Macaca mulatta: one gene and its partners. The protein of the gene in region 3 binds, or shares a complex with, the protein of the main gene of each other region. Links are inferred from orthologs where the notes say so. Each region holds a gene or a part of one and is shown on either strand. Other genes may lie near its edges.

The links.
Region 1: STX7 (region 3) and BNIP1 share a complex: the UniProt entries of both Homo sapiens proteins name them as parts of the SNARE complex. The link is inferred for Macaca mulatta from reciprocal best matches to the Homo sapiens genes STX7 and BNIP1.
Region 2: STX7 (region 3) and STX5 share a complex: the UniProt entries of both Homo sapiens proteins name them as parts of the SNARE complex. The link is inferred for Macaca mulatta from reciprocal best matches to the Homo sapiens genes STX7 and STX5.
Region 4: STX7 (region 3) and BET1L share a complex: the UniProt entries of both Homo sapiens proteins name them as parts of the SNARE complex. The link is inferred for Macaca mulatta from reciprocal best matches to the Homo sapiens genes STX7 and BET1L.
Region 5: STX7 (region 3) and VTI1B share a complex: the UniProt entries of both Homo sapiens proteins name them as parts of the SNARE complex. The link is inferred for Macaca mulatta from reciprocal best matches to the Homo sapiens genes STX7 and VTI1B.
Region 6: STX7 (region 3) and STX18 share a complex: the UniProt entries of both Homo sapiens proteins name them as parts of the SNARE complex. The link is inferred for Macaca mulatta from reciprocal best matches to the Homo sapiens genes STX7 and STX18.

The regions. Positions count from the first base shown.
Region 1 is NC_133411.1:182,025,713-182,029,901, forward strand, and holds the start of BNIP1 (vesicle transport protein SEC20), read left to right. Parts: upstream 1-1,389; 5' UTR 1,390-1,405; coding exon 1,406-1,489; intron 1,490-3,751; coding exon 3,752-3,844; intron 3,845-4,189. UniProt on the Homo sapiens protein: As part of a SNARE complex may be involved in endoplasmic reticulum membranes fusion and be required for the maintenance of endoplasmic reticulum organization. Also plays a role in apoptosis.
Region 2 is NC_133419.1:11,227,362-11,230,861, reverse strand, and holds part of STX5 (syntaxin-5), read right to left. Parts: intron 1,839-3,500; coding exon 1,768-1,838; intron 1,606-1,767; coding exon 1,550-1,605; intron 1,433-1,549; coding exon 1,362-1,432; intron 1-1,361. UniProt on the Homo sapiens protein: Mediates endoplasmic reticulum to Golgi transport.
Region 3 is NC_133409.1:37,533,228-37,537,383, forward strand, and holds the start of STX7 (syntaxin-7), read right to left. Parts: upstream 2,801-4,156; 5' UTR 2,697-2,800; intron 1-2,696. UniProt on the Homo sapiens protein: May be involved in protein trafficking from the plasma membrane to the early endosome (EE) as well as in homotypic fusion of endocytic organelles. Mediates the endocytic trafficking from early endosomes to late endosomes and lysosomes.
Region 4 is NC_133419.1:81,260-85,268, forward strand, and holds BET1L (BET1-like protein), read right to left. Parts: upstream 2,801-4,009; 5' UTR 2,716-2,800; coding exon 2,697-2,715; intron 1,451-2,696; coding exon 1,359-1,450; intron 1,076-1,358; coding exon 1,019-1,075; intron 877-1,018; coding exon 709-876; 3' UTR 84-708; downstream 1-83. UniProt on the Homo sapiens protein: Vesicle SNARE required for targeting and fusion of retrograde transport vesicles with the Golgi complex. Required for the integrity of the Golgi complex.
Region 5 is NC_133412.1:140,848,895-140,853,187, reverse strand, and holds the start of VTI1B (vesicle transport through interaction with t-SNAREs homolog 1B), read left to right. Parts: upstream 1-1,493; 5' UTR 1,494-1,605; coding exon 1,606-1,720; intron 1,721-4,293. UniProt on the Homo sapiens protein: V-SNARE that mediates vesicle transport pathways through interactions with t-SNAREs on the target membrane. These interactions are proposed to mediate aspects of the specificity of vesicle trafficking and to promote fusion of the lipid bilayers.
Region 6 is NC_133410.1:8,565,425-8,568,924, reverse strand, and holds part of STX18 (syntaxin-18), read right to left. Parts: intron 3,106-3,500; coding exon 3,047-3,105; intron 1,489-3,046; coding exon 1,419-1,488; intron 1-1,418. UniProt on the Homo sapiens protein: Syntaxin that may be involved in targeting and fusion of Golgi-derived retrograde transport vesicles with the ER.

The DNA of each region.
Region 1 (4,189 bases), on a different chromosome or scaffold from region 3:
CACTGTGCTTGGTGCTTTTCATGTATTATCTCATTTAATTATCCAATCTGTGAAGTAGGTGCTATTGATTATCACCAGTTAGCCTCTGAGGAGACTGAAGCACAGGCATGCAGTGCTGTGGACAGGATTTGAGCCCAGGCAGATGCCAAGCCTGGGATACACTGCCTCTCTATTAGGTGCAGTGGGGTGATGAATACCTTACGAGAGGGTGTGTAGAGGCCTGTAGGAACACAGACAAGCACAGAGCCCTGCTTACAACAGGTGGGAGCCATATTGATTTTTTGGGGAAAAGATGGCTTTCAGTAGAGGCTGTGCCACTTTCAAGATAGGTAATCTTGCGACAGGGTTGATTGGTGGTTATTTTAATCTACTTTCAGCTCATCTCCTGAAGTGTGATACTAGTGTAGTGCAATTTCAAGGGTGGTTGTGAGGATTAAGAGAGATGAACATTCAGGTCCTAAGCATTTAGGTCCTCACAATCTATTCTTGCTGAAGTGACCTGAACAAAAGCAGATGGAGTGGGGTCGAGTCGGGGAAAAGCTTTCCAGGGAGAGGGAACACCACATTCTAAGGCTACACATCCAGAAAGAGCTTGAGCAATCCAGGAAGGGCGCAGGGTGGGGTGGCTGATGACCTTGAGGACCAGCTAAGAAACTTGGATTATTTACTAACAAAAATAAAAGAGCCACCATTTGTTGAGGGTTTCCTCTGACATTTCCATCAAAACTACGTAAATCCATCAAAACTACGTAAATCCATCAAAACTACCCCAGCAAGGTAGATTTAATAAATCCAGTTGTATACAAAAGGGAACCACCAGAAGCCATAGAAGGGCTGCATACAGGGAGGCGACTTGATCAATTTCGTGTTTTACAAAGATCCCTCAGATCATGTGTTGGAGTGATAGGAAGTACTCTACTGACTCTACTGAACTCCATACTTTAAAAAATACATAACATTTATCATTTTCTCTTTTACTCCACAATTTATACTCACTGTAGAAAATATTAAAAATATAAGAAAGTTTGAAGAAACAAAAAATTGTCACTTGTACTTTCCAGAGACATCTCAATTGATACTTTTCTTCCAGTCTTTTTTTTCTATGCAAAAAATACATAGTTATTAGAATGCCTGACAGAAGGAAGATGGAAAGAGACCACTGTGAAGCATTATTGATATTCCCTCTTCTCTTCCTCTCCATGGTATTAAGGCCATACCAAGAGGAGAGGCTGATTTCCCTACACGTGTCAGGGAAAGTCCCAACTCTGCGGCAGGGACCCAAGCTTGCCATTTTCGCCGGTCTCTAGGGGGCGCTGCCCCGAGACTGGGCGGGGAGGGCGAGAAGGCGGTGCGAAAACGCGTTTGAACTTGGGCCCTGCCGCCGCCCGTAACCGGCGTCCCCAACATGGCGGCTCCCCAAGATGTCCACGTCCGGATCTGTAACCAAGAGATTGTCAAATTTGACCTGGAGGTGAAGGCGCTTATTCAGGTACTGATCCCGGGACCCCTGCCAGGCTCCAGCAGCCCTAACCCAAGCTCTGCTGGTCTGTGAGCTCGGTAGTGTCACTCCCGAACTTTCCCCACTTGGTTTCCCAGGCCACCGGCTCCGCCCCATGACCGGCTACCCGCCCTGGTCCCCATTTGGTTGTGTCCCCGTGACTGCTGGCCTTGATCCTTTTTCCGGGTGCCGCCGGATCGCCCATCTCCAGAGCACCCAACTGTTCTCCGCCCCTGACCCAGCTACTGCTTCGAGGCTCGGCTTTGCCACTTCCACTTGCAGTCCTGGTCGTCGCTCCGCCCCTGACCTCCTCACAACCTACCTGCCACCCTGCTTGGCCCCGCCCTCTGACGCTGCTTCCCCATTCTCTGGTAGCGCCCGGTAGGCAGCTAGCCCCGCCCCCTGCTGGCCAGCTCCCCTGGCATCCAAGGGCACCTGGCTCGGGAGGCACCAGGTGAAACGAATGTAACCTGGACCGTAGTTGTGATTTTATGCTTGAGGAAATCGAATACGGCGCCAAGGCCTAGGTTAGAAGGCAGGCCTGGGTCAATGGCAAAACTGGGACCTGGACTGGGAAAGTCAACCTAGGAATAACACCTTAGAGTGTTACCCCGTTTGAACAGAGAGGAAATGAGGTGTTTTCGCCTTAAGCCATTTAAGGGTAGAGGTAAAATAAACGAGTTGACGTAGACAAGAATTAGGAATGTAGACACGGTTCCATGAGTTTAGCAAAAAGAAACCAAGAGTTTTAAACCTTGTTTTTTTGTTTTGTTTTGTTTTGTTTTTTGTTTTTGTTTGTTTTTGAGACGGAGTCTCGCTCTGTCGCTCAGGCTGGAGCGCAGTGGCGCGATCTACTCACTGCAAGCTCTGCCTCCCGGCTTCATGGCATTCTCCTGCCTCAGCCTCCCGAGTAGCTGGGACTACAGGGGCCCGCCACCACGCCCAGCTCATTTTTGTATTTTGTTTAGTAGAGACGGGGTTTCGCCGTGTTAGCCAGGATGGTCTTGATCTCCTGACTTCGTGATTTGCCCGCCTCGGCCTCCCAAAGTGCTGGGATTACAGGTGTGAACCACTGCGCCCGGCCTAAACCTTGGTTTTTAAAGCAAATCATTTTCAACAAAGTCACTAAACATTAGATGTAGACTCAGAGTTTGTAACGAGGGGTGGCAAAAAGTGCAGGAAAGTAGGGCTCCCCAGATAAACCAGATGCAGAATAAACCAAATTAGATGCAGAATAAACAAATATGGTGCAAAGAAGTGTGATTAAATTAATAACCAGAGAAAAAGTGAAATTTGATGCAGATATTTAAAACTTCTCGAACTTCACTTCTCTGATGTATACATTACAAAACTTCTGGGCCAGTTATAGAAAAATAAACTTAGGTTTCATACAAATGAAATCACATTTTCACATAATCTAAATTGCTTAGGCACCCTTCTGTACTCTTTCTAACATTTGGGTTCTTGTGATTGCTGATGAGAAAGATTGATTATAGCTGGATGTAGTGCACCCTTACTGTGTTCCAGCAGCTCTGCTAAGTGCTTTACATACACACATAATCTATGATGTTCTCTGAGGTAAGTAGGGTTGTGATGAGGAAACTGAGACACAGAGAATTTAAATAACTTTCCAGGTAACTTTACACAGCTAATAAGTTGCTACAGCCAGGATTCGAATCCACATGGTCTGTCTCCAGAGCCTGCTCTGAAAACTGGCACCAGTAATTCTGAATGTCCAGCAACAGATTCTAAATCTGCCCTTAAACATGTTTATATAAACACTCTAAATATCACTGACGGTTTGTAAAATCACACTGAAAAAGTTAATCTCATCATATGAGGCCAGATCTTTAAACATCCTCATCTTACAAGTTGAAAGGATCTAAGGTTCTAAAGTTATAGTATTACTTTCGCATGTCCATTCTTGTTGGGCATATAAGCTGTTTTAAGCTTTTTCATACTGGCCAGGTAATGTTTTGTTAAAATTTAGGCACTAAAAATTAGGTCAAAGCAGTTGTGTTTCTTTCTAGGCTTTTATATTAATTCAACATTAATCTAAAGAGGAATGAGAAAAATGCCAATGATAATGTTTTTGCTTGTGTTGCAGAGGTAAACAGCAAAGATCAGGATGAATTATAGTCAGTATCAGTACATTAATATTAGTTGGTCTAAACCAACTCTCTCACTGTATGGATGGTGTCATTTCATTTCATTGCCTTAAGAAAGGCCTTTCATCTGTTCAATGTCTCCTAGGATATCCGTGATTGTTCAGGACCCTTAAGTGCTCTTACTGAACTGAACACTAAAGTAAAAGAGAAATTTCAACAGTTGCGTCACAGAATACAGGTGGGTATTCTCAGAACTGAGATGCTGAGTATCTGTCAATGAAGGGGGCTCAGTCCTGGGTGTATCCTCTGCTTGAGAGCCGTCTGGGTTCTTCAAACACCAGCTGATGGGAGCAGTAAACACTTAAGACAGTGAGGGTGACTCTGTACTAACCTGCTGTCCAGGTAAAAACGAGAAACTTTTGCGTGCAGAACACTGCCAGCTGTGTCAACAAGTGGATGGCAGGAACACCATTATCCTTGGAATTTTTGAAACCCTGAGGCCACTTCAAATACTTTCTCTTCTCTACCTTCTTTCTACCCTATTCATTTGTTCACTACCTCAATCCATCACACTCCTGGGTTT
Region 2 (3,500 bases), on a different chromosome or scaffold from region 3:
CCCTGCTCCATTCTGTGAGGCCATGCTCTTGGCCACAGAACCCTTTCAAAGGCCAAAATCTTGGGTCTAGAGCATGACCAACAAAGCCCCTGGACAGCACTCAGGAAAAGGGAAGAGTCAAAGGCACTGTAGCTTCAAGAGGCATCAACAGAATTATATTTATACACACAATTCCTCAGTGGCTCACATCTGTAAACCCAGCACTTTGAGAGGCCAAGGCAGACAGATCATGAGGTCAAGAGATTGAGACTATCCTGGCCAACATGGTGAAACCCCATCTCTACTAAAAATACAAAAAATTAGCTGGGTGTGGTGGCGCATGCCTATAGTCCCACAGTCCCAGCTACTTGGGAGGCTGAGGCAAAAGAATCACTTGAACCTGGGAGGTGGAGGTAGCAGTAGGCCTAGATCGCACCACTGCACTCCAGCCTGGCAACAGAGTAAGACACCATCTTTAAAAAAAAAAAAGAAAAGAAAAGTTATTATTGGCCTGGCGCTGGGGCTCACGCCTGTAATCCCACCACTTTGGGAGGCTGAAGTGGGGGGACCACCTGAAGTCAGGAGTTTGAGACCAGCCTGACCAACATGGAGAAACCCCACCTCTACTAAAAATACAAAATTAGCTGGGCACGGTGGCATGTGCCCAGCTATTCAGGAGGCTGAGGCAGTGGAATCACTTGAACCCAGAAGACAGAGGTTGTGGTGAACTGAGATCACACCACTGTGCTCCAGCCTGGGCAACAAGAGTGAAACTCTGTCTCAAAAAATAATAAATAAATAAATAAATAAATAAATAAATGTTATTACAGTTGAGTGCAGTGGCTCACACCTGTAATCCCAGCACTCTGGGAAGCCGAAGTGGGCGGCTCACTTGAGGTCAGGAGTTTGAGACCAGTCTGGCCAACATGGTGAAACCCCTTCTCTACTAAAGAGAAAACAATTAGCCAGGCATTGGTGGCAGGTGGCTGTAGTCCCAGGTATGGGGGAGGCTGAGGCAGGAGAATAGCCTGAACCTGGGAGGTGGAGGTTACAGTGAGCCAAGATCACACCACTGCACTCCCACCTGGGCAAAAGAGCAAAACTCTGTCTCAAAAAAAAAAAAAAAAAATTATCCAGGTATGAGGGCACGTCCCTATAGTCTCAACCGCTCAGGAGGCTCAGGCTGGAGGATAGCTTGAGCCCAGGAGTTAACAGCTATAGTGAGCTAGGATCACACCACAACACTCCAGTCTGGTCAACACAGTGAGACCCCCTCTCTAAAAAAAGAAACTTGCTCTGGGTCCCCATGGCAATGGAAAATGACAGGAAGACAGAAGTGATCTGATTGGAATGCTGGGCTCTCCTGATGGCTAGTAGCTCACCTGTTTGATGATATATGTTAGTTCTTCAATTTCCACTGCTTTATCATCAAAGAGGGACTTGCGCTTTGCCACTACAGAGACAAACAAGAAGCCACAATGGGTGAGGTCAACGACAAAACTCAGGGAATATAGCCCTCAGTCCTCTTTGATTTACTGCCCCACTTCTGAAAGACCCCAAAAACACTCACAGATTGTCAGCTTCTCCAGCTTGGCAAATGTGTTGCTAAGGTCTTTCCCAATGCGCCTGCAAATGACCACTAGTGAGACTGTGGGAAAGGGCAGGAGGCCTTTTCCCACATAAGGTCCAGCACAACCAACCCCAGACTTCACAGCCAAGGCCACTGATCGCAAGTCTACTTTTCTTCAGACATTGTAGCACCCCACCAGAAAGCTTCTCTCAACTCACTTGGCCATGAGGGTGAATTCACTGCGTTGTCGGACAGCACGCAAAGCTGGCTTATTTGTCTGGATTCCATTCTGAAAAGCAATGGCAGGAAGTGACAACTTTAGTTCTCCCTTCCCCAGTTCCAGCTTTCACTCTTCCTGAGGAGTCCACTAAACTATCTCTAGCACTAGTGGCATCCATCAGATGATCCAGACTTATGAGTGGAAGTCATTTAGAGTCCAGATTTGAAGACAAGTAGATCTGAGTTCAAATCTTGACTTACCACTTACTAGCTGGGGGATTTGGGGCAAGTTACTTAAAACATTCTGAATCTCTATTTCCTCTTCTATAAGACGAAGACAATACACACATCTCCCATTGTTGTTGCTAAGGTTAAATAACAAAAAGGCTGAAAAGTACTTCAGTCAACTACCTGGTACATAGTAAGCACTAAATAAATGGTAGCTAGTATTGCCATTCTATTCCTCAAATCAGGAAATCAATAAGGATGACTGCAAAGTTCTTGGAGATCATATAGAAAAGCAGCTTTACCATGAGCTGAAAAACACATTTTTATAACTTTACTATTTTTGAGACAGGGTCTCACTCTGTCTCCCAGGTTGGAATATAGTAGCATGATCGTAACTTACTGCGGCCTCGACATCCTGGGCTCAAGCGATCCTCCCACATCAGCCTCCCAAGTAGCTGGGACTACAGGGCACGCCACCGCACCTAGCTAATTTTTAACTTTTGTAGAGATAGGGTCTTGCTATATTGCCCAGGCTGGTCTTGAACTCCTGGGCTCGCACAATCCTCCCACCTCAGCCTCCCAAGTACTGGGATTACAGGTGTGAGCCAGCATGCCCACCCATCAGTAAAAATATTTAAAAATACAGTTACTCAGCCAGGCGCGGTGGCTCACGCCTCTAATCCTAGCACTTTGGGAGGCTGAGGCAGCAGATCACGAGGTCAAGAGATCGAGATCAACCTGGCTAACATGGTGAAACTCCGTCTCTACTAAAAATACAAAAAATTAGGCAGGTGTGGTGGCATGCACCTGTAGTGCCAGCTACTCAGGAGGCAAAGGCAGGAGAATCGCTTCAACCTGGAGGCTGCAGTGAGCTGAGATCCCACCACTGCACTCCAGCCTGGGTGACAGAGCGAGACTCCGTTTCAAAATAAATAAATAAATACAGTTACTTGGCCGGGTGCAGTGGCTCACGCCTGTAATCCCAGCATTTTGGGAGGCCGAGGCAAGCAGATCACAAGATCAAGAGACGGAGACCATCCTGGCGAACATGGTGAAACCCTGTCTCTACTAAAAATACAAAAACTAGCTGGGTGTGGTGGCGCACGCCTGTAGTCCCAGCTAATCGGGAGGCTGAGGCAGGAGAATCGCTTGAACGCGGAGGCGGAGGCTGAAGTGAACCCAGATCATGTCACTGCACTCCAGCCTGGCAACAAAACGAGACTCCGTCTCAAAAACAAATGAACAAACAAACAAAAAAATACTTACTCAGGTGCTTGTAACCCCAGCACTTTGGGAGGCTGAGGCGGGCAGATCACTTGAGGTCGAGAATTTGAGACTAGCCTAACCAACATGGAGAAACCCCGTCTCTACTAAAAATACAAAATTAGCCGGGCATGGTGTCACATGTTTGTAATCCCAGCTACTTGGGAGGCTGAGGCAGGAGAAACACTTGAACCCAGGAGGCGGAGGTTGCAGTGAGCTGAGATCACGCCATTGCACTTCA
Region 3 (4,156 bases):
ATTACACATTGTATACATCTACTGAGGTATCACATGTACCCCACAAATGTGTATAATCATTATCTGTCAATTAAAATAAAAGCAAAAAATATCTTATTATAAGCTGTTAACAAGGTAACTGCATTAAGAAACTACACTTTTACTCTACATTTCATTTTCTGATGTGACAATTTACACCGTTTTATATTGTATATCACTTAAATTACATTGTAGCTCTTGTTTTTAAAAAATTAAAAATTAAAATTAAGTTAAATGAAAAATTCAGTTCCTCGGTCATACTAGACACCTTTCAAACGTTCAAAAATTCTGTGTTCCTAGTGGCCAGCAGCTTGGACAGCTCATTCACAGACCACGTCCATCATCACAGAAAGAGCTATTGCACAGTGCCAATCTCCACATCTCAATAATCATCTTTCTATGAAGATACACAAACACCATAAAGAGAAAAACAGGAAGGGAGAATCAAAGTGCAACACTCAGATAAGCGTCTTCTCAAGACTGCTTCTAAAGAACACAAAAGAATGAACAAAGGGAACGTTAAAATGTAATCTTAAAGTGTCAAAGACTACTCCCAGTTAAAATCAGATACACTGTAGAATCCTTAAGATTTCCATTTAGCATATATCTCATGCTCTATAAATCTACTCTGGGCAAAGAAGGGGTCAATTTCACTTTCTTAATCATTAACATCAGCATAAACAACTGGACTTCTCTCTACCCTCTACCCCAAATAAGTTCTGACGGGTGGGGGGTGAGCATTTTTTTGCCTGTTTTGTGGATTGCACTATTCTCAGTGCCTGGCTACATCATAAGTGCTTAACAAATATTTGTAGAATGAATGAATGTACCCACTTCCTAAGAACACACACCCAGCGTGAGGGTAAATATTACCATTTCTAAAACATAAAATTCCAGTGCCTTCTTTCAGATCCCGAAGGTCGCAGGCTCCTTGCTGCCTTAGGCCTTTGCTGGGTGCCATTTCCTATTTCTAGAAGGCTCTTCTCATGATCTCCATGTGACTGGCTCCTTCTCCCCAGCAAGGCCTCATCACATGCTAGAGAAACCTTTGTGACCACTCTGATCTGAAAGTGAGAACTCACCACAGGCCACTCTTTGTCAATCTAACTTACTGCTTCACAATACTCAATAGTCTAATTAGTTACTGTTTATTATTGATCCCTACACCTCTGGAATACAAACCTTTATTATTGATCCCTATACCTCTGGAATACAAACAGGAGCTACTTCTGGAATATAAACAGGGGATAGATGACCTTGTCATTCTGTGTAATCTACAGTGCCTGGTGCATACTAAATGCTCAAGGAACTGTCTACATAAGTATCCTCTGCACAAACTACATTAACTGCATTCTTTGGCCTTAGATCTTCCATCACTGAACTCTTGTACTACTTGGTTTTAGTTCACAATATCAAGGATTATTTTTTTCAAACTTTCACACACGAAACTTGCAAATTAAATGGAATCACAGTAAACTTTACTCAGACTTACTGTGGATATTTTCTATAATTTACTTTTCAATCATCAGCACTTAAAGTTTGGGGTCATAATCAAAATGAGAATTGATTTTGTTATCAAGAGCAACATAAGTAACATATCCGAGGAAAAATGATGATGTTAATGACTTAATATGGTATCATATTAACCTCTGCAGACACTGTGAAGTTAAGAGCATAATTCTTAACTAGTCACAAGTCTGAGGCCAACTTCTCAAAGTGGCCTATAAGGCCTGGCCACATCACAAACACAGTTTAACACCATTATCAGCCTCTGCCCAGGTGTGCTCAGAGAACCTGCAGAAGAAACGCTCACTTCCAACATTATTAAATAGCACAGCATTTCATAATTACTTTCTTTTCTTCCAGATTCTGGGCAAGTTTTATATACTATATATAATTATAGTTAGAATACAACGATCTGAGGTAAACAAAAATTAACGTATATAGATAAGAGTCAAGCAAATGTGAGAAATTTGTGGGAAAAAAACACACAGCATTTGATCAGAAATGCAACTTTTTTTTCTTTGTCTGAATTTAAAGAAAGTAAGTAACTAAAAAACAAGGTGGAGGAAATACTAGAAATACTTTATGTATGTTTAAAGGTTTTTATGTAAATTAATTAAACGTGTATACTAAGAATGTCAAAGAAAGTATGTTAAGTCATCAAGCCAAATAAAACAAATACTACGAGCCACTGAATAAACAAACATACACGGTTTGTCTGCTACAGCCATACATTTTTCAGTTCCTCTATATTCGGGAAGTTTAAAGTGTGTTTTTCAATCCATGAGTTGAAAAGAGGAAGAGGTCATTTGGTCGTGTCTGGATTCCTGAGCTGGGCCCCAGCCGGGTCTGGCGCCGGCCACGCCGTGCGCCTCGGGAGCGCTGCCCATGGGACCGCGGCGGGTGCGTGGCTGGCCAGGCCCACCTAACCACAGCCGCGCACTCCAGGAATGCGGAACGCGCCGCGCCCCTGCACCCGGCCTGGGGGTATGGGGAGCCGCAGGCGCTCCGGGAGCCGGGGCAGTCCGGCCCTTCCTCACCTACCGAGTGCCTGCTGCAGAGCGCAGGGCGGCGGCCACCTGACCACGCGCACAAACAAGGAGGAGCGGCGCCGCAGGGGCACCGCGCCTCCCTGTCGCACGGCCAGGAAACCCCCCTCCCCAGGGTCCTCTTACCTGGACCTCGGTGGCTCCCTCCTACACCTCCGACCACCGTCACCCACCGACCCCCGAGCCTTCAGCTGCAATTCTCAGCTGATGGGCGGTGGCGTGGGGACGCCCAATGCGCATGCCCGCAGCACAATTCAAGGAAGAAGGCGGGGTTCACCCCTTTTCTATTGGCCCGCGGGGCTGAGTGACAGCGGCCCTCACCGCCCCTTCGGTTCCAAGCTAAGGAATGGGAGTATCAGCAAAATTGCAAGGGAGCTGTTCTTTGAAGCCTGACGTAGAGATGGTGAACGCCTCTTAGCCTGCGTGCAAAAAAGCAGAGGACAGAATGGAGGACAGTTGTCTTCTTTATCTGGTGAAGCCTTCTTGCACGCAGGTCTTCACCCCGCCCCTTTAGCTCCTGCCTATCTTGTTTGCTAACCTTTAACTGCAGTAGATCGCGTTCACAGCTCTATCGAAAAATGCAAAGGCGAATACACAATCCTAGCGGGAACAATGAAGGAATAAGTGAAGAGTCATCTCTGGGTCCTCACTTAGTAAACAAGTTTTCCTAGTACGTACAAGTCATTCGAAGCATTCCTGAAAAGCAGGGCGTAGTTTTCACAGGGTTTAAAACAAGCAGAGACTGTTCCAATGATAAATATGCAAATATAATATAATTGTTAGATGAAAAGCATCAATTGCTACAAATGAAAGAAAGCCCTCACCAAATTAATTAGAAGATAGATTGGCTTAGCCTTCGCCTATATTAAGGAAACACTATTTTCTAAAATGATTACCCGGATATGTGATATCAAAAGTCCAGATGCACTTAGGTGGAAAAAAGCAAAACCTAGTATAGAATTCTGGTTGAAACTCACCAACACTAACTGTGGAATGTTATCTGTTTAAGAGAGATGGACAGAGAAAGAATAACCCAGAAAAGGAGTAACCCACAAGATAGGAAATAAACCAGGAAAAGGCAAACTAGAGAATGAAGGGAAAAAAGAGGGAATGGTCCATCATGTCATCTGTCACAGAAAGTTCAAGTAAATAAAGAACTGAAAGTAGTGCATTGTACTTGAGAATTAGGAAGTGGCTGGTGAACGTAGGAAGAGACATTTCAGTCGTTGAAGGAACTCATGAAAGGATCTTACATCTGTGTGAGGTTTAGTGCACTTTCCAAATACCATTCATATTATCTTTGATAGACCTCTGGGCTCTGGGAGGGGAAGGTACAATGCACTACAGAAGAACCTGAGATTAACTGGCCTCTTCAAGTTGCCCTGATAGTTACTGACTATGCTGGGACCAAAACTTAGCTGTCTGAGCCCTCATTCTGGGCTTATTGCAATTTCTTGCTTTAAAATATGTTATGAATGGATTCCTTCCAGGTCTTTTGAAAACTTAAGAATAAGATTTCATCCTTTGGTATTTAAATGGAAAAAAATAAATATGTCTAGACAACCTTGCAAAATTTAGAAGTATTA
Region 4 (4,009 bases), on a different chromosome or scaffold from region 3:
TACACAGTCACAGGACCCAGAAGGATCCCACCCAGTGGCTAGGCCAAGGCTGCAGTCCACTCCTTCATCCACAACCCGTTCTCCCCAGGGGTCTCACTTCATCCGCAGGACTGGAGAGTAGGCACAGAGAACTCACAGCAGGGTGGCCCGCACTGGTCTCCTGTGCTCAGCAACCATGGCCAGGAGTAACTGCCATCTCCAGGCTGAGAAGCCTCAGTTGGAGGAGATAGCACCCACTTAGGGTTCACAGCCCCTTCCTGTGTCAGTTCCAGGAACCTTGGATCACAGACATGGCCTCATCCAGACAAGGACACGACCGTGGAGCCTTCAGATGTCAGCGTCCCAAGAGCTGGGAGAAAGGCTGCAGGCCACAGGTGGCCACGCCTGGGATTCAACAGTTGCTCTGCTCAGACCTGGCTCCTCCAGACACGCTGCGGCCCCAGCTCTGCTTGTGTCTCTAGCATCTGGGGAAGGGGGGAGGGGCTGGGCCTTGGTTTCCCCGAAAGAGTCCCTTCCACACATGGGACCAGCCAACATGAGCTCATCAGGTCACAGGCAGCCGCAGCCTCCTGCCACACAGAAAGGATTCCTGGCCCACGATTATAATTTCAAAGGAGTACTTTGCAGGTAAGTCCTCTGGAGCCCAAGATGCCAGGCAGGGAAGACAATGGCTGCCCTTGGCACCCACAGACACCAGCTCCCACTGTCTCACGTCCTTGCCCTCGACAAGAAGTAGGAGAGGATGAAGAAGGCCACAATCAGACCCACAGCCATGCCACATAGAAGCTTCCGGTTGTCTCGTCCGGACCTTGCCATTGCGGAAAAGCGCTTCACACTCCCTGTAAGCAGGCCGGTCATGCTTGTGAAATCCGAGTCCTAAGGGAAGAATCCCGGCAAGATCACACAGAAGTGGTGATTTGACCACCCACCCGCACCAGTGCTGAAGGAGACACTGCAAGCTCTGTAGCAGGTAGTGCTGGGGGCAGGGCACTGATTCGCGCACACCGTGGGCCCTTACCATGCCATCCAGGTACCGGTTCTGATCCTCTGCATCCCTATCGATGTCCAGGGCGAGCTGTTCAGCACACAGAGAGGGCAGGGTTGGGCCAGAGCAGACACATAATACAGCACTCACCCTTCCCAGACCAGACAAACCCTGCCAACAACTCTGCCAGACACAGTGGGGCAGCAGCAGGAAGGTCCAGGTGTCAGCTGGGGCCTCATGCAGGTGAGCACAGCCACGAATCGAACGAGGAGGACGGCAAACTGCCTGAAACTCCTCTGGGCCCTCTACCTTCCCTCTGATCCCCATTCCCCAAGGGCACCAGGTGGAGGTAAGAGGACAGACCACCACTGACCGATTTGAGCCTGGTGACTTTGGAGGCCAGGCTGTCGGCCATTCGCTTGTTCTCCCGGTCTAGAATCTCTTCCACAGCGCCCGGGCTCTGAGCTGAGAAAAGAGAGGGGCTGAGTGATTGCATCCATCGGGGAGCGAGGCCTCTGACCCCTCTCACTCCAACCACAACTGGGTGAGTCAGAAATCTAGGGGACCTAACCTAGGTTCCAGCAGGTGAATCTTGCACATGTGAGAGAGACTGCATAAAGGACGATGTGTGCAAGGGCCTGTCATGTGAACACGTGTCCTGTGTACACATCCAGGTGGGGATGGGCCAGCACCCACAGTGGGTTCAGTCCAACCAGCACCTTCTGAGACTGTGTAGCAAAAACTGGGCCCAGCTCTGGGATGTTAATAAGATGTGACACTTGCATCCAGGGAGGTCGCCATCTGTGTATGTGGAGCCCATTCTTATAGAAAAAGAGTAAACTCTGCTAAGAGCATAGGAAAGACTTGGGAAAAGTACCCAGCAGGGCAGCAGAAAGGCTCCTGCAGGGACGACCTTTGAGCTGGGTCCTGAAGAGGTGGCAAGGAACCAGGACAGAACATTGGGAAGGCCCTTTACCGCACAGAAAACAGCTGAGCAAAGTTCCCAATTCCGCGAGATGGGAGCTGAGGTCGACCAGGAGCGTGATCCCTGGTCTGCATCCCACACAGGGCTTCCTGCAACACCCAGAGCACAGCGCTTGCAGAGGCCCGGCCTGTGACAGGCTGGGCCAGGTGATAAGGAATTTCTGTCACCTCAGGTGGGTGAGAACCACCTTCTCCCTAGCTTCAACGTTAAGGAAGGGATGCCAGCGTCCTTCCAACCACTTCCTGTTCATTAATTCCTTTACTCATCATAACTCAGACAGGCATCAATATCCCACTTTGCAGAGAAGAACACGGGCTCCAGGAGGGGAAATGGGGCCACCGAGGCCCAAGTTAGTTAGCAGAGGCCTGCCTGGACACCAGCGGAGCACAGCCTACTCCGAAGGCCTGGCCTCGGGACCTGTCGAATGCCGAGACTCCCGCTCACCCTGAACCCATGCAAAACGATCTCACAGGGAGCGGCGGGGAGTGGGGGGACCCCGCAGCTGCGCGACCCCTCGCTGGAGCTGCTGGGCCGCCCCGCCCGCCGTCCTTCCTAGCGGCAGTGCTGGCCGAAACCCGGCCCTGCTGGGACCCGGAAGGATCCGAATCCGCCCCCCTGACAGGGTCCTCCCCGCCGAGGCCAGAGGCAGGCGCACGCGGCTCTACAGGCAGCGGCGTCGGTTCCGGCCCGGCCCTGCCCCCAACGGCTCCGCTCTCCCGCGCTCACCCCGAGCCCAGTCCGCCATCGTGCCCTGCCCCGGCTCCTCGACGCCAACACCGACGCGGCCACAGCCGCCTCAGACGTGGCGCAGTCACGGGGAACGGGCTTCCGGCCCCGCCCCCCGCCAGCGATGGCCCCGCCTCCGCGCCAACCACGCCCCTAGATGGCCCAGCCGCTTCCGCGTCGGGCTCGCTGATTTCCGGCTTAGGCCCGAGGGTGGGGAACCGCGGGGTCGCGGAAGCGATGGGCGTCGCTGTGACTTATTTTCAGCACTGTCGCCCAGGCAGTGGCGCGATCTCAGCTCACTGCAGCCCCCGCCTGCCGGGCTCCCAAGGTGCTGGGATTACAGCAGCACCGCGGATGTGACGTTTGTTTGTTGTTCCTGTGAACGTGGGGCGGGGCGGGGCCGTTTGCTTGCTCAGTGCCAAGACGATGGTGGTGGAAAGACGCTGCCATGCGTTAGGTCCTAACGGTTAGGAAGGATTCACAGGCGGGTCATGAGGGAGGAGTAGGCCCCTCGGGCAGAAGCCCGCGAGGAGCCCTGGGTGTGGAGGGGGCAAGGGTGCCTCCTCTGTCAAGTGGAGATCGGCGCCTCGCTAGTGCCTGCGAGTGCGCGCCGCGTCGAATACAGGTGTGCGGAAAGCGCTACAGGAAAGTGAAGCAGGGAAAGAGACTGGGAGGCGGCACGGGGAGTGGGGGCCGTAGACGCCTTTGCTCCCGGGCACTTGTTACAAGAGCCAGTGGACCGCGCTTCCTGTGCGTCACTGAATCCTCCTGATGGCCACTGAAACGGACACGCAGGATCTTTGCTTGTCAAGAGGGAACTGAGTCCAGGCCAGACTGCGTTGCTCCCCTTTCTCTCGGCCCCTCACGGCCCTTCCACCTTTGCAAGTGCTGCTCCTTCTGCCTGGAGTGGCTCCTCCAGTCTTTTCCCAGCTCGCTTCCCATCGTCCAGTGTTAGCAAAAACACCACTTCCTCACAGCCCTTGCAGCCCAGCAGTCACCTTTTGCTTCTTTTGAAGCACAGCCCTGTGACCGCCTCATGTCCTTTTGTTTTTCCTTGTCTGCCTTCCCCTCTGGAACATAAGCTCCACAAAGGCAGGGGCCTGGGAGTCCCGTTCGCCTGCATTCCCCAGCAAACGCCTAACGAACCCAATGGCCCGGGACTGAAAAGTCCTTTCCACTTCGGCTTTCCCGTCTACATCCCATCGGTTCTGTGGAGCTCGAGGGGCGTCACTGTGTGTGTGGCAGGGCGCGGTGGGGGCTGAGATCCTTTCCTGTTGGAAATTCCGGCCCAAGAAGCCCCGGTCACAAGGAGG
Region 5 (4,293 bases), on a different chromosome or scaffold from region 3:
TATTTTAATTTTTTTGAGATAGGATCTTGCTTTGTCACCCAGGCTGGAGTGCAGTGGCATGATCTCAGCTCACTGCAACCACTACCTCCCGGGTTCAGGTGATTCTCCTGCCTTAGCCTCCCGAGTAGCTGGGATTACAGGCGCCCACCACCACGCTCGGCTAATTTTTGTGATTTTAGCAGAGATGGGGGTTTCACCGTGTTGGCTAGGCTGGTCTCGAACTCCTGACTTCAAGTAATCCGCCCGCGTCGGCCTCCCAAAGTGCTGGGATGATGCTTGAGCCACCATGCCCGACCTGAAGACCGGCATTTATACCCATGGAGTGCAGGAAAGGACCTTGTAATTGTTAACAAGTGACACTTAGTGGCAGATGAGACCTAATGAAGCCAGGCCCACCTTCCACACCAGATTATAAATTCCCTCGGAGCAGAGAGTAAATGTTTTATTCACCAACATGCCCAGATCCCTCGCAATGCCTACGCTTGACAAACACCTGTTGTGAACAAGTGCACGAGGCAGCCTAGCAGCTAGAGTATTTCGAGGTCATCCTAACTGGGTTCCACTTTTGAATTTTTGTTTTTTGGGTTTGTTTGGAGACAAGGTCACCCTCCACTTGGGAGCAAAGTCTCCCAAGCTGGAGTGCAGTGGTGGGAACTCTGCAATCTCAACCTTGTGGACTCAAGTAATCCTCCTGCTTCAGCCTCCGGGGTAGCTGGGGCCAGAAGTGCGCGCCACCTTGCCCGGCTCCTATTTTGGGTTTCCGGTAGTGCTCTCGCTATTGTGACCAGGCTGGTCTCGAACTACTGGGTTCAAGCAATCCTCCCACCTCGGCCTCCCAAAGTACTGGGATTACAGACGCGAGCCACTCGCCCGGCCAAGTTCCACTTCTGAAAGCTTGGGGAGCAGCTGGGCCTTCCAGGAAAAGTGCTCCACCTCCCGACTGCAGGCAGAGCCCCCGGCCCGGCTCTTTCCAGGGCCTAAAGCTAACATTCGGTCAAGACGCGAAATGAGGAATTCGGGTCAGGGTGGCAAAGCAAAGCGCGATGACAGTGAGGACGACGTCTAGACGCAAACACACATCAAATCGGGCCGAAGCCCGCTGTCGCCTGGCGGGCTAAACCTGGCACCCCGGGCAACGCGCGACTCCGGCACCAGACGCTCTCCGAGTCAAACTACATCCCCCGGCGTGCACTGCAGCGCCCGCCCCTGGCCGGCCGGCGGGGCCTGGGAGGAAGGCGGCCGAGCTGCCCGTCCCGCAGGTCCCCTAGGGCCCTTTCTCTGCGGCCTTTCCCCACCCCGGACCGGGCACTTCTCGGGCTCTGCGACTACCATTCGCCCCGCTCGCTCCCTCAGGAGTCGCCTAGGCCGCGCAGTCTGCCGCCTTCCCGTCAGGCCTTCGCGCCGGCGCTCCCGCAATCACGGGCTAGAGAGGGTGGGCGTTCCGGCTCGGGAGGACCCTTCTGCGGCCCCGGAAGAGCCTCGTCCTGGGCAGCGGTGGTGCGGCGGTCGCCGTTATGGCCACGGGACTGGGCGGCTGACCGCCGGGCTAGGAGAGGGCCCAGAGCCCCGAATCTGGGTGGCCGCTGCTCGAGCGCGTCCTGCGCCATGGCCGCCTCCGCCGCCTCCTCGGAGCATTTCGAGAAGCTGCACGAGATCTTCCGCGGCCTCCATGAAGACCTACAAGGGGTGCCCGAGCGGCTGCTGGGGACTGCTGGGACCGGTGAGGCGCGGGTGGGCCACGCCGTGGGGAGCGCGGCCCCGCGCGCTTTGGAATTTTCCCCCACCTTCCTCCCAGACCCGGGCCCGCGTCTCCTTCCTCCGCGTCCTCAGACACGCCCCCTAGGGCTGGCTGGGTCGCAACCCCGGGTCTCCCTGCCACTGAGAGTGAATTGGGGACGCGCCCAGGGACGCGGGGTTCAGTTCCCTGGGTTCCTTCTATGGCCTTCCACATTTTCTCGTTTTTTTCCACTGCGGCAAACAGAGCAGAGGGGCTTTTACATCTGCGGTCCTGTAATGTAGCGTGGGTTTCTTTCGTAGCTGTTTTTGTTTGTTTTATGCATTTAGAAGCACTAGTGTCAAGACAGGTCTAGTTTTCACCAGACTGACAGAGGATCTGTAGCACAGAAAAAGGGTTAAAAACCCAAAAGAGTCATAATTTGGGGCGTTGGTATATACCTGTTATTGGAGGGTAGAGAGCTGGCCTTTAAAACCGTATGGTGGCGTTTAGATGTGGTCTTGTTTTGAACGTTTTTACTGCTGAGACTATTTACTACCCCTTCATTTCATGGTTCAGGTTGCTACAAGTTTTGTCTGGAGGAGCTAGAGTTTTCTGGCCCTAGATCCATAGGAAGACCTGCTATATATAGTTCTTGGCCTCCGGATATATAGAACTTGATGGCAAGGACAAAACTTTGTTTTATTGCTTTTATTTAAGGATCAGAGCTTGAGTGTTTGCTCAACGAATTACTCAAGGTCATAGGAATTGAATGACTCTGGTGAGAATGAAATGCATGTATTTAATATATATTTATTGTGAGGCTGCTGTGTGCCAGGCACTGTTCTAGGTGCTGGTGAATATTGCAAATTACAGTGAAAAAGACATGCACGTCCCCATTCTAGTGGGTAGGTGATAAACAATATATAACTATTAAGCGGCAGTGTTAAAGAATACAGGAAAATAAATCAGAGTAAAGGAATAGGGGATGGGACTTCAGTTTTATTTTATTATTATTATTATTATTATTATTTTTGAGACAGAGTCTTACTCTGTCATCCAGTCTGGAGTGCAGTGGTACGATCTCGGCTCACTGCAGCCTCCACTTCCCAGATTGAAGCAATTCTCCTGCCTCAGCCTCTGGAGTAACTGGGATTACAGTTGCGCCACCACCCCTGGCTAATTTTTTTTGTATTTTTAGTAGAGACGGGGTTTCACCATGTTGGCCAGGTTGGTCTCTAACTCCTGACCTCAAGCGATCCGCTTTCCTCGGGACTTCAGTTTTAAATAGGGCGGTTGTGAAAGTCCTCTGTGAGGAGATGGCATTTGAACTGAGACTTGAATGAAGAGAGGGAGTAAACCAGAAATCTGGGAGAAGTGAGTGTCAGAAGGAGGGAATAGCACTGCAAATGCCCTTAAGCGGAAATGAGCTTGGTGTGTTCAACGAAGAGCAGGAAGTTCCATGTGTTTGGGATGAAGTGAGCAAAGGAGAGAGGTAGGCAGGGCCAGATCATGTAGGGCCTTGTGGACCATGGTGAAAGACTTGTGCCTTTTTCTAAATATGATGGGATGCAGTTAAAATATATTGTGCAGAACCATTGTGGGATCTGATTTATGTGATTGAAAAGTTGACTGCAGGCAGGGCACGGTGACTCACACCTGTAATTCCAGTGCTTGGGGAAGCAGAGGCGGGCAGATCACTTGAGGTCAGGAGTTCAAGACCAGCCTGGCCAACATAGTGAAACCCTATCTCTACTAAAAATACAAAAATTAGCCAGGCATGGTGTCAGTTGCCTGTAGTCCCAGCTACTCAGGAAGCTGAGGCAGGAGAATTGCTTGAACCCAGGAGGCAGAGGTTGCAGTGAGCCGAGATCCTGCCGCTGCACTCTAGTCTGGGCAACAGAGCAAGACTCTGTCTCAGAAAAAAAAAAAAAAAGGAAAAGAAAAGACTGCAGGCTAGGCGTGGTGGCTCACACCTGTAATCCCAGCACTTGGGGAAGCTGAGTTAGGAGTATTGCTGTATTGAATGATTTTGAGAACAGCCTGGGCAACGTGGTGAAACGCCATCTCTACAAAAAATACAAAAATTAGCCAGGCATTGTGGTGCGTGCCTGTAGTCCCAGCTCCTGGGGAGGCTGAAGTGGGAGGATCACTTGCGCCCTGGAGCTGGAGGTTGCAGTGAGCCAAGATCGCACCACTGCACTCTAACCTGGATGACAGAGCAAGACTCTGTCTAAAAAAAAAAAAAGTAGACTGCATTTTCAACCTGGCACTGAGTTAATTTTTGCATTGCCCATTTCTATAAGGCTAAATAATGCAAAAGAACATTGCTTGAAAAATAGAAAATTGAATTCATTATTACTATGGTTTGAATGTCCCCTCTAAAACTTATGTTGAAATTTATTTGCCATTTTAATCGTGTTAAGAGGTGGGACCCATAAGAAATGATTAGACCATGAGGGCTCCATCCTCAGGGATTGGATTGTTATCCTGAGAGTGGGTTGGTTGCTGAGAGAGTGGGTTAGTTCAGCCCTCTCCTGCTTGCCTGCTCTCTTGATCTGTTGCTCTTCCACCTTCTG
Region 6 (3,500 bases), on a different chromosome or scaffold from region 3:
AAGATGGTGAAACCCCGTCTCTACTAAACATACCAAAATTAGCCAGGCGTGGTGGCATGCCTGTAATCCCAGCTACTCGGGAGGCTGACTGAGGCAGGAGAATCGCTTGAACCCAGGAGGAGGTTGCAGTGAGCCAAGATCACAACACTGCACTCCAGCCTGGGTGACACAGCGAGACTCCGTCTCCAAAAAAAAATTAAAAAAAATAAAAAAAAAACTCCTGGTGAGCCAAGGCAAGGCTCTGCCTGTGCTCTGCACACCCCTTCCAGGCCCCCTGCAGCCGCTGGGAGGTTTGAAGCAGGGTAGTGTTATTCAAAAGAGCAACTCCTATGAACCCGAACTTCCAAACTGCTGTTAGACTTAATGTACCTCATTTACAATGATTTCACTCTGGCTGTGTGGTTTATGGAAAGTCATTTTGAGAGAAGTATTTTAAGTTAAGTAGTTTAACATACTGGAGAAAAATTTGTCTTTCAAACATTCCCATTGTCTTTGGGTGCTAAAAAGAAAAGGGCAAATTTATTAGGTCCCTAAAAGTTTTGCCAGTTATTGGCTGGAAGAATTTCAGAAAATTGACTTGAAAAGAACAATCCTGGCCGGGCGCGGTGGCTCAAGCCTGTAATCCCAGCACTTTGGGAGGCCGAGACGGGCGGATCACAAGGTCAGGAGATCGAGACCATCCTGGCTAACACGGCGAAACCCCGTCTCTACTAAAAACACAAAAAATTAGCCGGGCGAGGTGGCGGCGCCTGTGGTCCCAGCTACTCGGGAGGCTGAGGCAGGAGAATGGCGGAAACCCGGGAGGCGGAGCTTGCAGTGAGCTGAGATCTGGCCACTGCACTCCAGCCTGGGCGACAGAGCGAGACTCCGTCTCAAAAAAAAAAAAAAAAAAGAAAAGAACAATCCTATTTCCCATGCAGGCACCATCCCTGAGGCGGCATGGACCTCGCACTGTGAGAGGCCTGGGCCTGAGCTCCTGTAACTCTACTGACGGAAAAGCAACTGCCCGTCAGCATCGTTCTGTAGTTCTCTCTCAAATGGAGAACAACCCTGCAGGGGTCACTCCAATCTATAGATGGGAAACTGTTGCCTGGCCGGGCTACCTAGCTCACCCAGCACATCCAGAACCCTGACTGCCAGGCCTGGACTCTCCTCCCACATGCCACTGCATGCGCCACCACACGGCGTGGTCAGTGGGGCCAGTGGATCCCCTGTGGGGAGCTTCTCCTCCATCACACGTGTGCAGAGGCAGCTCTGGGTAGTGAGAGCTTTGCCCTGAGGAGCTCTGCGCACGCACACCCGCTAGCAACACATGGCTCTGCTCCTGGCTGCGCAGAGCAGCAGCCTTTGGGAAAAATGTCTCTCAAGTACATTCCCCTTTAAGTTAAAACGTACAGCTACTTTGTTTTTGTTTTTACCTGTTGCAAAACCTTTTCCGTGAATATCTCTTGGAGTCTGGAAATCTCAACCACTCTCCCTTCGATTTGCCTTCATAAAAAGAAGAATAGATTACATATTAACTATTAGTACTTGGTAATCTAACAGGACTGTTACACATTTCTAAAGAAATCCTGTCTTCTACATGAAGGTGGGAGAGACGGGGGAGCATACCATGTTGGCTGGGGGAAGAGATTGGAGAGGAAGGCAAACTCTCCTTACTGGGTCACCTTCCCTGTCTCCCGGTGTAGCCTAGCACGCTGGGCTTTTTGGAAGTCCACTCTACCATGCCAACTGAGCCCAGTCCCAAGAGGTGGGGGTGGGCAGTGCCCTTTGCATTCTGTGTCACTGGTCAAGGACCAGGGAGGGTCTGGTTATGCCCCAGTTACAGAAAGCAGTCTCCAGTAAGTTCTCTGCCTAGCCTTGTCACCATGGTAACACATGGTGGGGATTCAGAAGGTCAGAATATGCTGATGATCCTGCTTTGTTACTGCTCAGCGGGTTAAAGAAAAAAGTGTATTTACCCTCAAACCAACTCCCTGTTCCAAGAAAAAAGCTCCTCTGATTCATTTAGAAAATGCCATGTCTTGGTTTGGCAATGGAGTGTTCTGTCGGATCGGAAACACTTGGGCTAGCCATCTTCCTGGTGTCAGGGGCAGCCTGGGCTACCCTGGGGGACAGGTCGGGGCCCATCTATTTACAAACGGAAGCTGGCCCAGGCTGAAGTTAACTGCTGTTCCAGCACAAAGCAGCGACAGGAAGTGGCAGGAGGCGAAAAGTGGTGGGAGCTGAGCTCCTGGCCAGGTGGAAGCAGACACGAATCCCAACAGTGTCACAGTGGCAGGAGGGCAGGGGAGGAGATGGGGGAAGAAAAGCCCGTGAGTATCTGGGCATGGGGGAGTAGCGGGGACGGACAGTGAAAGGTAGGCTGTTGGAGGAGGACTAGGAGGTCCATCTGAGGGCAGAAGGCGAAGAGCCCCTGGGAGGCTGACACCTACACTGAGAAAATCCTCAGGCTGTGTGAGTGCAGCATCAGGATTGATTTGATTTGGGGGACATGTCCACAATACAACAGGCTCTGCAAAGTCCTGGGCCTTACTTTCAGCATGCTGCAGGCCTTCCCACAGAAACTAGAGTTCAGTGGGTGCACGTGTGGGTGACCAAGGCCTTGCCTTCTGCATTCCTGACCCCCTAGTGGGTACAGGAGCAGGCAGACCCCAGTGGAGCCATTTGCAAAAGAGGGCTTCCCTTGGTCAGCTGTCCTTCACGAGGGCCCCATTTCATTTCAGAGTCGCTGCATGGAAACAGCCCAAATGGTGGTGGAAATTACACGCAGGTAATCTGCAGTCACTCCTGCATCTCTTGGGGTAGAAAGCATCTGGGCCCCCCGCAGCAGTGGCAGCAGGCGGGAGGTAACCCACAGGCCCACAGGCTGAGGGAGTTGTAGATTCAGGCCACATGCCCACCCCAGCCCTGTCAAAATGGCTGAGGGGGGCTGCACCAGCCCAGGGGCCCCATGTGGATGCCTGGGCACCAAGGTAAATAACGTTCCTAGTTCCTGGAAAGTTGTAAAGCAGGCTCTCAGCTCACAGAGGAGCTACAAACATACCTCACTTCATCAAACAAGCTGTTCATTTCACCAATGAGTCGCTGATTTTCCTGTTCAAACTGCGAGGAAACAAACACACTCAGGATGACATCATACTGAACTCAGGCAAGCGTCTAACAAGAAAGCGGACCTGCGCTCCAGGAACCACTGGCGAAGCCCCCATTTCCAGCTGCAGCAACATGGTGGCCGGTGCTGGATGACCGAGAGCGTCAGTGTGAACAACGTCCCTGCTCTCAGGAGAAAATTTTAAAACACAGCTGTGCTGCCTGGTAATCGACTTTTCCATCTCAACCACTGCACTCCAGGGGTGCAAGCTGACTGCTATGGCTGTAGCTGTATCTACTTATGCGCTCTCCCCTGGGCTCCCACGGCCAGCTTCCTGCCTCTGGTACCATTATTAAAAAAATTCTTTTGCTGTTGTTTTCTCTCATGAAGTATACTGAAGGACTACACA